Linked DNA regions of Arabidopsis thaliana. The protein of the gene in region 1 interacts with the protein of each later gene in a pairwise test. Each region holds a gene or a part of one and is shown on either strand. Other genes may lie near its edges. The genes, in order: AT4G37180, AT5G01380 and NAC097.

Region 1 (3,760 bases):
AATCTGGATTAGTTGGACACGTGTCCTGGTATAGTTGGCTAACAGTGAGCCGTTTCTTTTGGTCCGTCCGTTAGATTCCTTGTGGTCTTTATTGTTTATAGGTCCTAGGCATTTTACATGCTACTGTGTTTCGGAATATCTTTTTGTTAGAGGAATCAAATGTTATTTTGAAAAAATTGAATGCTATTTTAAAATTGAAAGAAATTTGTATTTGGCTAGCAGGAAAAAGCATGGAATAAAGTAGCTTTGCGTACTGGGATCTTTTACATTGGATTATGCGAAAGATCCTTTTTTCTCATTTTGCTAGAGAATTCTTGAGTTTTATTTCATATAATAATATTAAGTATAATTCACCTTTTGAACGATATAAGTTTTGATTAGTAAAAAAAATGGATGAGTAGTGGAATAATTTGCAAGAAATAATGGTGCTACATAAGAATGATCAACCTAGTTTCTTGAAAAGAATATCAACACTGAAATGAACAAAAATATTCATAATACGATAACCAAAACCAACTAAACCATGAAAAGGGCACTTATAAACACAAAGGTTACGTGATTTCTTGAAACTAATGCTCACCGTGAATGTAAATGGACGTTGCGTGTGGTAAAAATAAAGAAAAGACAAAGAGATCTTTTGACCACTTCACTCTTTTAAAATCACATACGTATGTGTCGATTTCTAATACAGCTAGTAGCTTGTGTTAGCAAAATTTAGTATAATTTTTTTCCGGGTAAAATGTTTAGTATAATTTTTTAGTAAAATTTAGCAAAATTTAGTATAATTTTTCTATTCGAAAAGATAAACTAAAGCGAATATGTCCTATACTAGTAAAGATTAATTATTTATACGGCTCTACTAATTTAGTCTAGTTATATGATAGTAGTACAAACTGAAGTACGAATTTATGTATCGTACTACTTGCATAAACGTACATGTGGTTTTGCCTATCTAAGAACATCGTTTAATTAAACCCGATTGTATAGTTTGAATGTTTTATCGGTTTTTAAACGAGTGGTTCGAATTCCATGAAACCGAGATTTCAGTATAGCTCTGTGTTTGAGATACAATAACAAATACATGAATCCATAGCCCATAGGCCATACACGGTTATGCCCATTCGGTATTGTTGGTCTAGCAAAGTTATTTCTGACGATGTGCTACATGTACTATGTGGTACATACCTTTTTTATATTCAACATTTAATCTCATATCATGTTGACTATAAATGTATAACTTTCAAGCTCATAACATTTAGGTTATAAAAAGTCAATATTTGTTGTAGTCTAAATCTTCTTTATTTCAAACGTAATTTTTTACTCCAAAAAAGTGTAACTTATCTACTTTTAATTGTTAAAGTAGGAAAATAAAATTTGATTTTTCTTTAAAAAAGTAGAAAATTGTTAATTTTGTACAAATAAATTTGATCTTTCTTAGTTATAGTTTGATTTTGTTAATTCCTTATTTTTAATTTTTTATCCAATAATTGAGTTGCTTTATTTTATTTTTAGTCTTTCAACAGATTCTTTTTATATTATCTTTAATAAATATTTTAGTGGGATATTTCACAGCCTGAACCACTCCATATGCAGAAAATAGTGTTTGTAAAATATTATAGATTCTTCAGAATCCTCTTTTTAAGACTAATTTGGGAAAATATTAAATACAGGATAACAGGAATATGAGAATCTTGAATGAGAAGAGCACTAAAAACAAAATAAATAACAAGTTTCCCAAAACTGAAAATTGTAATATAATTAATAGCCGAATTAAAAGGAAAAAAATCCTTAAAGAAAAATATAAAAAAAGAGAAGAATAAATATATATAAGTGAGTGTAACGATTCGCCGCGTGTGTACGGGCATCACAAAAAGATTCTTTCTTCCATTTAAAGATAAATCTAATTTTAATATTGACAAAAACACCCTCAAGTCTCCACTTATTTACAGCGGCTACGGTTCACCGCGTCCTTCTTCTTCTTCCCTAATCTCATTTTTTTTTTGTTCTCATTTATCTTCTTCAGCATCTTCATCATCTTCTTCTATATATACCTCTTTAAGCTTGCTTCTCTTTGTCTTTATCTTGTCCGATGGTTCAAACAGAAACCGATCAAAGGATGGGTCTTAATCTGAATTTGTCTATCTACTCTTTACCAAAACCCTTATCTCAATTTCTCGATGAAGTGTCGAGGATCAAAGACAATCATTCCAAACTGTCTGAAATCGATGGTTATGTCGGAAAATTAGAGGAAGAAAGGAACAAAATCGATGTTTTTAAACGAGAACTCCCTTTATGCATGCTCTTATTGAACGAAGGTATCTTTTATTAAAATTCTCTCCTTTTCTTTTTTTTATCTTCTCTAATCGATTCGTGTTTTTGTTTAAAGAGATTGTTTTTCTCTGTGTAGCGATTGGGGCGTTGAAGGATGAGGCTAGAAAAGGGTTATCACTGATGGCATCTAATGGGAAATTCGATGATGTTGAAAGGGCAAAACCGGAAACTGATAAGAAGAGCTGGATGAGCTCTGCCCAGTTATGGATCTCGAACCCTAATTCCCAATTCCGATCGGTACGATCAAAAAGCAACCCTTTTTATGTTTTGTGAAGAATCATATGTTGTGTGATTGATCTTGTTGACCTTATGATCATGTTTTGACAGACAAATGAAGAAGAAGAAGATCGGTGTGTGAGTCAGAACCCATTTCAGACATGTAATTACCCTAATCAAGGAGGGGTATTTATGCCATTTAACCGTCCCCCACCTCCTCCACCACCAGCTCCTCTGTCTCTCATGACTCCAACATCAGAGATGATGATGGATTATAGCAGAATTGAGCAGAGTCATCATCATCATCAATTCAATAAACCTTCTTCACAGAGTCATCACATTCAGAAGAAAGAGCAGAGAAGGAGATGGTCACAGGAACTTCACCGTAAATTTGTTGATGCTCTTCATAGGCTTGGAGGGCCACAAGGTTAGTCCTTAACCTTAGTAAAGGATCAAACTTTGCTTTAGATTTGATTGATTGATTATACTGAGATTGTTTTGTATTGTTGTTGTTGTTGTTGTTGTTGTTGTTGTGAGACAGTTGCTACACCAAAGCAGATTAGAGATTTGATGAAAGTTGATGGTTTAACCAATGATGAAGTCAAGAGCCATTTACAAGTAAAAGTTCTCATCTTTTACAGTAACTTAAACTTTGATGTGTGGATGAATGAATGATTTTGACAGTGCGGTGAAATGAAATTGTTATTGCAGAAATATAGAATGCATATCCGTAAGCATCCGCTGCATCCGACAAAGACTTTGTCATCGTCGGATCAGCCAGGTGTGTTAGAGAGAGAATCGCAGAGCTTAATAAGTTTGTCGAGGTCGGATTCGCCACAAAGCCCACTTGTTGCAAGAGGGTTGTTCAGTAGTAATGTTGGTCATAGCTCAGAGGAAGATGAGGAGGAGGAGGATGAAGAGGAGGAGAAGTCTGATGGACGTAGTAGCTGTAGAAATGATGAAACAAAGAAGAAGAGACAAGTGTTGGATCTTGAGCTTTGAAAGTCTGCATAGTGAATGATATAATCTTTACCAACTTATGTTATATATGCTCAAAACTTTGAGTTTGTTCGGGAGTTTTTGTAGATGTAAACATGAGAGTTGAAATAAGGAAGAGGATTTTGAGCAAAAAGTAGGGTTTGTTTTTGCAAGAGGAAATAGATAGAGAAGAGTGTTCGAAATCCTCTGTGTTTTTTTTTTTTTTTTTTTTTTA
Region 2 (3,760 bases), on another chromosome or scaffold:
TTACGGCAAAAGTAAAAGACTAAACTTATTACTATTTCCGAATAATCCGGAGCGATACCCTAAACAACATTCACCTCAAAAGTTCTAAATAACACGAATAGGCTGATTTTTGTATATATGCTTTTGGCTGACGTTTTTTTTTTGTTCTTTGCTTTAAGACTTCAATTCTTTTAAGCAAAAATTTGGATGGGAAATAAAAAGGATGATGAGGTGGCCTACTTGTATTGAGCGGATAAACATCAGCCAACAAAAATCTTTGTTAAAATAAAAAGTGAAAGACAGAGAGAGAGATGGCCACGTGGACAAACATGGTGGGCGTTTACACGTGGAATATAACAACACTCCGCGTTGCTGATTATTTGATTCCATTTAAATAAAATTAAAAAATACTGATTATTCTTTCTTTTGTTCACAGAAAATTCCTTCATTCACAATTTCTCTTTTAAATAATTAAAGACCACAAATTTTGAACATAAGAATTAGAAAAATTAAAGATCATTCACTAGAGTAGTCGACATTATTATTAATTTAGTATAAATAAATAAGGTGTGAATCCACGTGGGATGACAGGTGGGAGCGAAGTCTAGTGCATGTCATGTAAGATTTTGATTTACTTTCAACACGCTTCATCGCTATTTGGACCACTTCGCTGACTTTTTTTTGTTTTTTTTTTTACTACTGAGTAGTACTAGTATTTCTTACACATATCAGAGCCAAAAATACAACCCCGACGAATCTTTCTTTAGATACAAATAAAAAATATTTACTCCTACAAGTTTCATTCACCGTACGTTTTACTTGTTATATCATTGCAATGACGCGGCTTCTAAATATGTACTACCATATGTGTGTTTGGGAATCTGACAGTTGTATATTGCACTGGATCCAAACCATTTCAGAACAAGAGTACATTTTCTCTGTTCGTACGCATTATTTGTTTTGTGCCGACTGCGAATATAACGATTTCCATTTATTCATATACTAAATATCATACAATCCATAAATGAATAGTCTTCTTTTTTTCTTGGGGGAATTTACAATTCCAATCAAATTAATTTCTTAGCTAATCATAACGGTAGTCTTGTTTTCTGTAACTTAATTCTTCTTCTTTTTTATTTTGATAGGAACGTTAGGTATCTATTATGTAAAACTTGCTAACAACAATTCTCTAATTCTTTGTTTATATCTGATCTCTTCCTCCATGACACGGGGCTAATCTAAACTTCTAAAAGCATATTGATCCAATAGCTTATTTAATATATTTTGTCTGTCAACCATTAGGTTACTTTTGTTACGATGAATTTTTCAAAAGAAAAATACAAGAATTATGGGATGAGGAAAATCTAGTGGGTCAATTGACCATAAAGGCTAAATCGGATTGAAGAATAAAAATCGGATTGTGACTCGTAACTCGTAAGCGTGACGAAATATTAACGCAACATTTATATGTATTGGGACAAATTATTAACGAATAACTACCAAATGCAAAAAATACGAGACAGTTGAGTACTTGAGCTTGGTCACAAAATCATCATCAAGGAAAAACAATAACCATACAGTAAAAATATAGTTCTACAACTTTACAAATTTGAAAGCGTGTTTAGAATGATGCACACAAATAATCAATCTGTCAAAAAAAAACATATTGTTTGATTTTACTCTAAGATTAAGGCGATTGTTTTTACTTAAGATATTCTTAACTGATGCAAGTTACCCCTGTAATTGTTTGAGATTGCTATTTTTAAACTCTAGAATACGAAGAAAAAAAAAGTATGAATTATTTAGTTAGCTGCTTTAAATCTAGAGTTTATCATCCGAAAAAGGGATATCTAAGCTTTATTATTTTTAATGTAATCACGAATTGTGTCCTTTTCACCAAAAGAGTCATTCGTGTTCGTATTTTATTCAACTAAATAATTCTATAAGTTCTAGTATATTCAATAATTATTAAAAAATCTCATCTTAATAATTTTAATTAGAGAAAAGAACAAAAAACTACACTTCTATCGTCCCTCTACGATTTCACACCTTCTTTTCACACATCCTTATAAATTAATTAGATTCTTCTCTTTTCTCTCCTTCCTCTCTGTCTTCTCTTCTTTTTTTCAATGAAACCTCTCTTCATTTATAAGTAACCCAACAAAAAAATAAAATTATCTCCCTCTTATTTCTTCTCTTCACGTCACAAAGACAATTCGATTCCAAATAATGGACCGACGTAACCCTTTCCAACATCACCACCACCACCATCAGCTTCATCATCACTTGATCCAACAGCAACAGCTTCCTCCGCCGCCGCTGAGCACCACGGCGACGATGGATCCCGGCGGAGGAGGAGGAGGTGGGGAGAGAATCCCACAGTGGAGCATAGAGGAGACAAAGGAGCTTTTGGCTATAAGAGAAGAACTTGATCAAACTTTCATGGAGACCAAACGTAATAAGCTTCTTTGGGAAGTCGTGGCTGCTAAGATGGCCGACAAGGGTTTTGTCCGAAGCGCAGAACAATGTAAGAGCAAGTGGAAGAACCTCGTCACTAGATACAAGGTTACCCTTCAACTCTTTAGAATCCTATTGATGATTCTCTCTATATATAGTCCCGATATATACACCTATAAATGTTTAGTATGATCATGATTACAAGTATATACAAACTATAATTATGTGTATCATGTATTTCATCACTAGTTTGTGTGGTTAGACTGATATTATGCATATTGAAATGGAAACCTAGTTTATGGTGTATGTATAGGTGAACTACATTATATATACATCAATTAATGAGCTTAACCTAATCGCCTAGGTTTTTTAGATATTGTCCTGTCATTAATGGTAACGAGCTATAGAATAGAATTTTACGCGTTTATTGGTGAGCTTTCATCATGATATTGTCTATGTTCACATTTTGATCCGTTATACCATAATATCTCTCTTTTTGTTCGTTGATCACATGGTAAGTAAGTAACACAATATGCCATAAAAATATAATTACCGTTATATAACGGGTGCATAAGATTTAATAAGAACCGTTACTGATGAACACATGAAGATAGTTGAAAAAGTCTATACACACATTTATTTAAGGTAAAAGAAACGTGATATAGATGATGAACATGTGTTTTTGTTTTCCTATGATATATGATTTCGAGTTAAGATACTTGGTTAGCTAAAATATTTTGCGTCGGTACTATTACGTGTTTACATATAATTGTTTATATAACATAATGAATATTCATGGGACAGGCGTGTGAGACCACTGAGCCAGATGCTATTAGGCAGCAGTTCCCATTCTACAATGAGATTCAGTCGATTTTTGAAGCAAGAATGCAAAGAATGCTGTGGTCAGAAGCCACAGAACCAAGCACTTCCTCGAAGAGAAAACATCATCAATTTTCATCTGATGATGAAGAAGAAGAAGTTGACGAACCAAATCAAGATATCAACGAGGAATTATTGTCTTTAGTAGAGACACAGAAAAGAGAGACAGAAGTGATTACTACTAGTACTTCGACCAATCCAAGAAAACGTGCAAAAAAAGGAAAAGGCGTTGCGAGTGGTACGAAAGCTGAAACTGCGGGTAATACACTAAAAGATATATTGGAGGAGTTTATGAGGCAAACGGTGAAGATGGAAAAGGAATGGAGAGATGCATGGGAGATGAAGGAGATAGAGAGGGAGAAGAGAGAGAAAGAGTGGCGGAGGAGAATGGCGGAGCTAGAGGAGGAAAGAGCCGCCACAGAAAGGAGGTGGATGGAGAGAGAGG
Region 3 (3,713 bases), on another chromosome or scaffold:
AAAGTAACTTACTTGACTAACTTAGTATGCTTTGGTAAACCCATTCAATTAGAACTAGATTCAAAGACATTATTTTAAAACTATTTTCTTTTTGCATTGGAGAACCAATCAAAAAATTACGTTCAAGTGTATGTATGGTTAAAAAGAATAATTGAACATGAAGATGGTGCTTGTACCATATCAATATCAACCATCAATTGACAACACTAAGTTATAAAGAAATGAAACTTTTCATTTATGTATGTCGTTGCTTAAGAAATGTCGCTAAATCATCAAAATCTAAAGTAAAAAGAAGATTGAAAACAAACAAATAAAGGAAATGGAAAGCCAACATCTTCGAGGTGAAGAAAAGTACCAAATCCAAAATGCTGCGTGGGAGGAGTAAGACATATGATTCTAAATTGACAAATTTAAAGCTTTTTCTATATCCTTTATGAATATAAAACAAATAGAGCTTTGCCTACTTTCAACACATGAAAATTATATAGAGAAATTTTGGACTAGAATTAAAGCTAGATGTTAACAATTTAAAATATTTATCAAATATAAGCTAGTCATGTTGCATTCGAATTAAGATTCAGCAAAAGAAAGCTGATGAATACTCTCTTCCAAGTTCCAACCAATTAAACTAATCTCGATTCCTTAACAATGAAACAATCATCTTTAATCCATTTCATTTTCTTTTCTTAGTCTTTCGAAAGACAAATTATGTAACCTTTATTTCTAGTGTATAAAACATAACATTATACAAAGAGGACTAAACCTAAAATGCTATTTGTAAAAATCAAAGGCTGATGCTGGAAAGTTGAAGCAAAAAATTGGAACAACTTTGGTTTGGTGGGGGCTTTGGGAGCTTTATTGATCCAAGGAAAAAAAGGAAGGATAAAAGGCAAGTCACCAGTCCAAAGACACACATATATACAATAATTTATCTAAAATAATTGAAATTAAAGAAGTGCATGAGAGTAGAAAATTGAGTCAGACCAACATCTAATAACTTACTCGTTAAGTCAGCTTCTCAAATCTTTAAGTTGGGATCGACTTGGACTCTCTTTCAAATTCACTTTTGTTTTCTGAATATACTTTCTTATATTTTTCTTATTTCTTAATCATTGCTTATGCATATTTACTTAAATTTATTGTTTTAAAAATGTATTGTATCCCGACATTATTATTTCACTTGCCAAATGATAAAGACAAAGAAAATTTTGATTCCTCGATGATATAAGTTTTCCTTTTCCACGTATAAATTTATACCAAGAAATGATTTTACTACAAAATTATAGGTTGAACGTACGTCCAAAACTTTCGCTTATTTATGTACATTCATATCTATAATTCGTATATCATTCCGACATTACTATAAGAAAAAAAAAGGGTCGCATGGATATTTTTACATGGATGATATATACACTAGTCCCTAAACATGTGTAAGGTCCCTAACATAAAGGTTTGTTTTCTTTTTCGGTGTGAAAACATTTCAGATTTGGAATAAACACTGTGGTAATTTTTCGGGTTTAAATCCACTCTAAACACTTACGTGTATTTTTACCTGGGCTAACCGATCGGCTTATGAAAAATAAAATTTCAAATGCATGTTAAAATTAGTTCTGGGCCAATTGTTAGAAATGTGCTCGTTTTAGTTATTGATGTTGAATGTACTTATATGGTAATGAATCAGCGTGGATCTAGGCTTTTGGAACTTAAATCTTGTTTATTTCGTTTTGGTTGAAAAAATAAATAATTACCTTTGCCCAGGAAAACGAAAAAGGAACTAGATTATCTTTACCAAAAAAATAAAGATATTTTTGAATACTCGCTATATTCAAAACCTTAACAACGTTGACTGCATGGGTACATGCACCACAATTTGTTATGATGATCCTCGCATTTAAATAAACAAAAATGAAACCAATCTACGATCTCTGAATTTGCAGTTATCAATTTTTTTTTATCTATTTATCTCTTGAAATTAATAGTAGTACGTAAAAAGTATCTAAAGGAAAAGCAGAATCCGCTTTTGCCAAACTAAAGGTGACACACTCATAAGTATATATAAACAACCTAAACCAAACACAAAGGATACTCATAAGAAAGCAATGGACATTTCTGCGCAGAGATTTGCCATGAACGGAAGAAGCATGAGACTCCCTCCCGGGTTTCGGTTCGATCCCGATGATGAAGATCTTGTGTTCGAGTATCTCGCCAAGAAGGTCCTCCACCGTCCAATGGACTTCGATCTCCCTGAGCTCCGTTCTTGCAATGTTGATCCATGGGACTTGCTAGGTTTGCTACAAACTCTTCTCTCTAATAATTACTATACCATATCACGTCAAATGTATTGAAAAATGTGGTTTAGTGAATGTTGTACGTACACTTTTGTTGTAGGAGAGAAGAACAAGGAAGTGTATTACTTCGTGAAGAAGGAAGAGCGAGAGAGGAAGGGAAGAGAGACGTTATCCGGTTATTGGGAAGAGTGTGAAGAAGAGGAAGTAATGGAGGCTGGTGGTCGTGATTGTATTCATTTAGAAGGAAGGAGAAAGACATTTGCTTTCTTTATTGGAAAAAAACCTCGAGGGACAATAACTCCATGGATCATGTACGAGTTCCGACTTCTTTCCTCTAGAGCTACAAGGTGGTCATCGTCCCCTCTACCTCGGGTGAGTCACTCATTGGACTTTTATCTTTTTCTATAACATATATTTTTGTTGTAAGTAATAGTTTAGAGCTAACTATATCAATGTTTTGGGTTTTAAAGGGTGAGGTAGGAAAATGGAGGGCGGTGAAAGTCGTAGTGAAGGAAGAGAATGATGAAGAGATGGTGGAGGATGAGCACGAGTCTGACGAGTCTGATGGCGAGGAAGTTATTCAAAGCCGGTGACGACCGAGGTTGATGCCATAAATATATGTACTTGGTTTTGTGGTGAATCGTTTGAATTTAGTTACTATTGTTAGGATATTAGGGAACATCTAAATGAAATATATATGCATGATTTGTCTTATTGTCTTCCAAGCCCTTTGGAATGGAATGGAATGTAATTGAGGATGTGGTGAAAGATGCCACAAGTTGCTTTCACTCTCCCGTTTTATTTTGTTCTTGTCCAATTATATATATATATATATTATTAGTGGTCCGTTAGACCAATCCATCCAACATCACATGAGGAGGTCTTCCCACAATATAAATACAACTAGATTTTAATCCGCGATATACCGCGGGACGATTTATTTTTTAAAAGTAATATATATTAAAATTTGCAAATTTTATTTTTATAAAATATTTATATTTTACAGTTTATAATTATTATTAAGTAACGCTATACCACGAATCCATGAGACAATTTTTAAAAAACTGAAGTTGTAACCCCTATTAAAACAGCATATTAATAATATTTTAAAATTTTATAAATATTGATTCAAATACATCCACCATATAATCCAATTCCAAAATAAAACCTGTTGTATAATTTCTTTACCCGTCCCGTGATTTTTTTTTAAAAAAGTAATTTTTAAAATTTAAGAATTATTTTTATATATAAAAGTTTTGCAAATTATATCATTCTCTAATACATTTATATTTTATAGTTTAATTTTATATATAGTAACATTATACATACTACATAATATTTTCGGTTTTATATAATCTTTTCTAAATTAGGATGATTTGATATGTTTAATATTAGTGGTCTTAAAAAATAATAAATTAAATATTT

What was found.
Region 2: the proteins of AT4G37180 (region 1) and AT5G01380 interact in a two-hybrid assay, tested with the Arabidopsis thaliana proteins (one large-scale study listed by BioGRID).
Region 3: the proteins of AT4G37180 (region 1) and NAC097 interact in a two-hybrid assay, tested with the Arabidopsis thaliana proteins (one large-scale study listed by BioGRID).

Annotation. Positions count from the first base shown.
Region 1 is NC_003075.7:17,502,559-17,506,318, forward strand, and holds the start of AT4G37180 (Homeodomain-like superfamily protein), read left to right. Parts: upstream 1-2,005; 5' UTR 2,006-2,089; coding exon 2,090-2,315; intron 2,316-2,386; coding exon 2,387-2,568; intron 2,569-2,658; coding exon 2,659-2,974; intron 2,975-3,088; coding exon 3,089-3,165; coding exon of another isoform or gene 3,166-3,222; exon of another isoform or gene 3,223-3,258; coding exon 3,259-3,549; 3' UTR 3,550-3,760.
Region 2 is NC_003076.8:155,900-159,659, reverse strand, and holds the start of AT5G01380 (Homeodomain-like superfamily protein), read left to right. Parts: upstream 1-2,058; 5' UTR 2,059-2,208; coding exon 2,209-2,544; intron 2,545-3,240; coding exon 3,241-3,760. UniProt on the Arabidopsis thaliana protein: Probable transcription factor that binds specifically to the core DNA sequence 5'-GTTAC-3'.
Region 3 is NC_003076.8:20,677,126-20,680,838, forward strand, and holds NAC097 (NAC domain containing protein 97), read left to right. Parts: upstream 1-2,096; 5' UTR 2,097-2,099; coding exon 2,100-2,286; intron 2,287-2,312; exon of another isoform or gene 2,313-2,348; coding exon of another isoform or gene 2,349-2,388; coding exon 2,389-2,660; intron 2,661-2,758; coding exon 2,759-2,881; 3' UTR 2,882-3,149; downstream 3,150-3,713.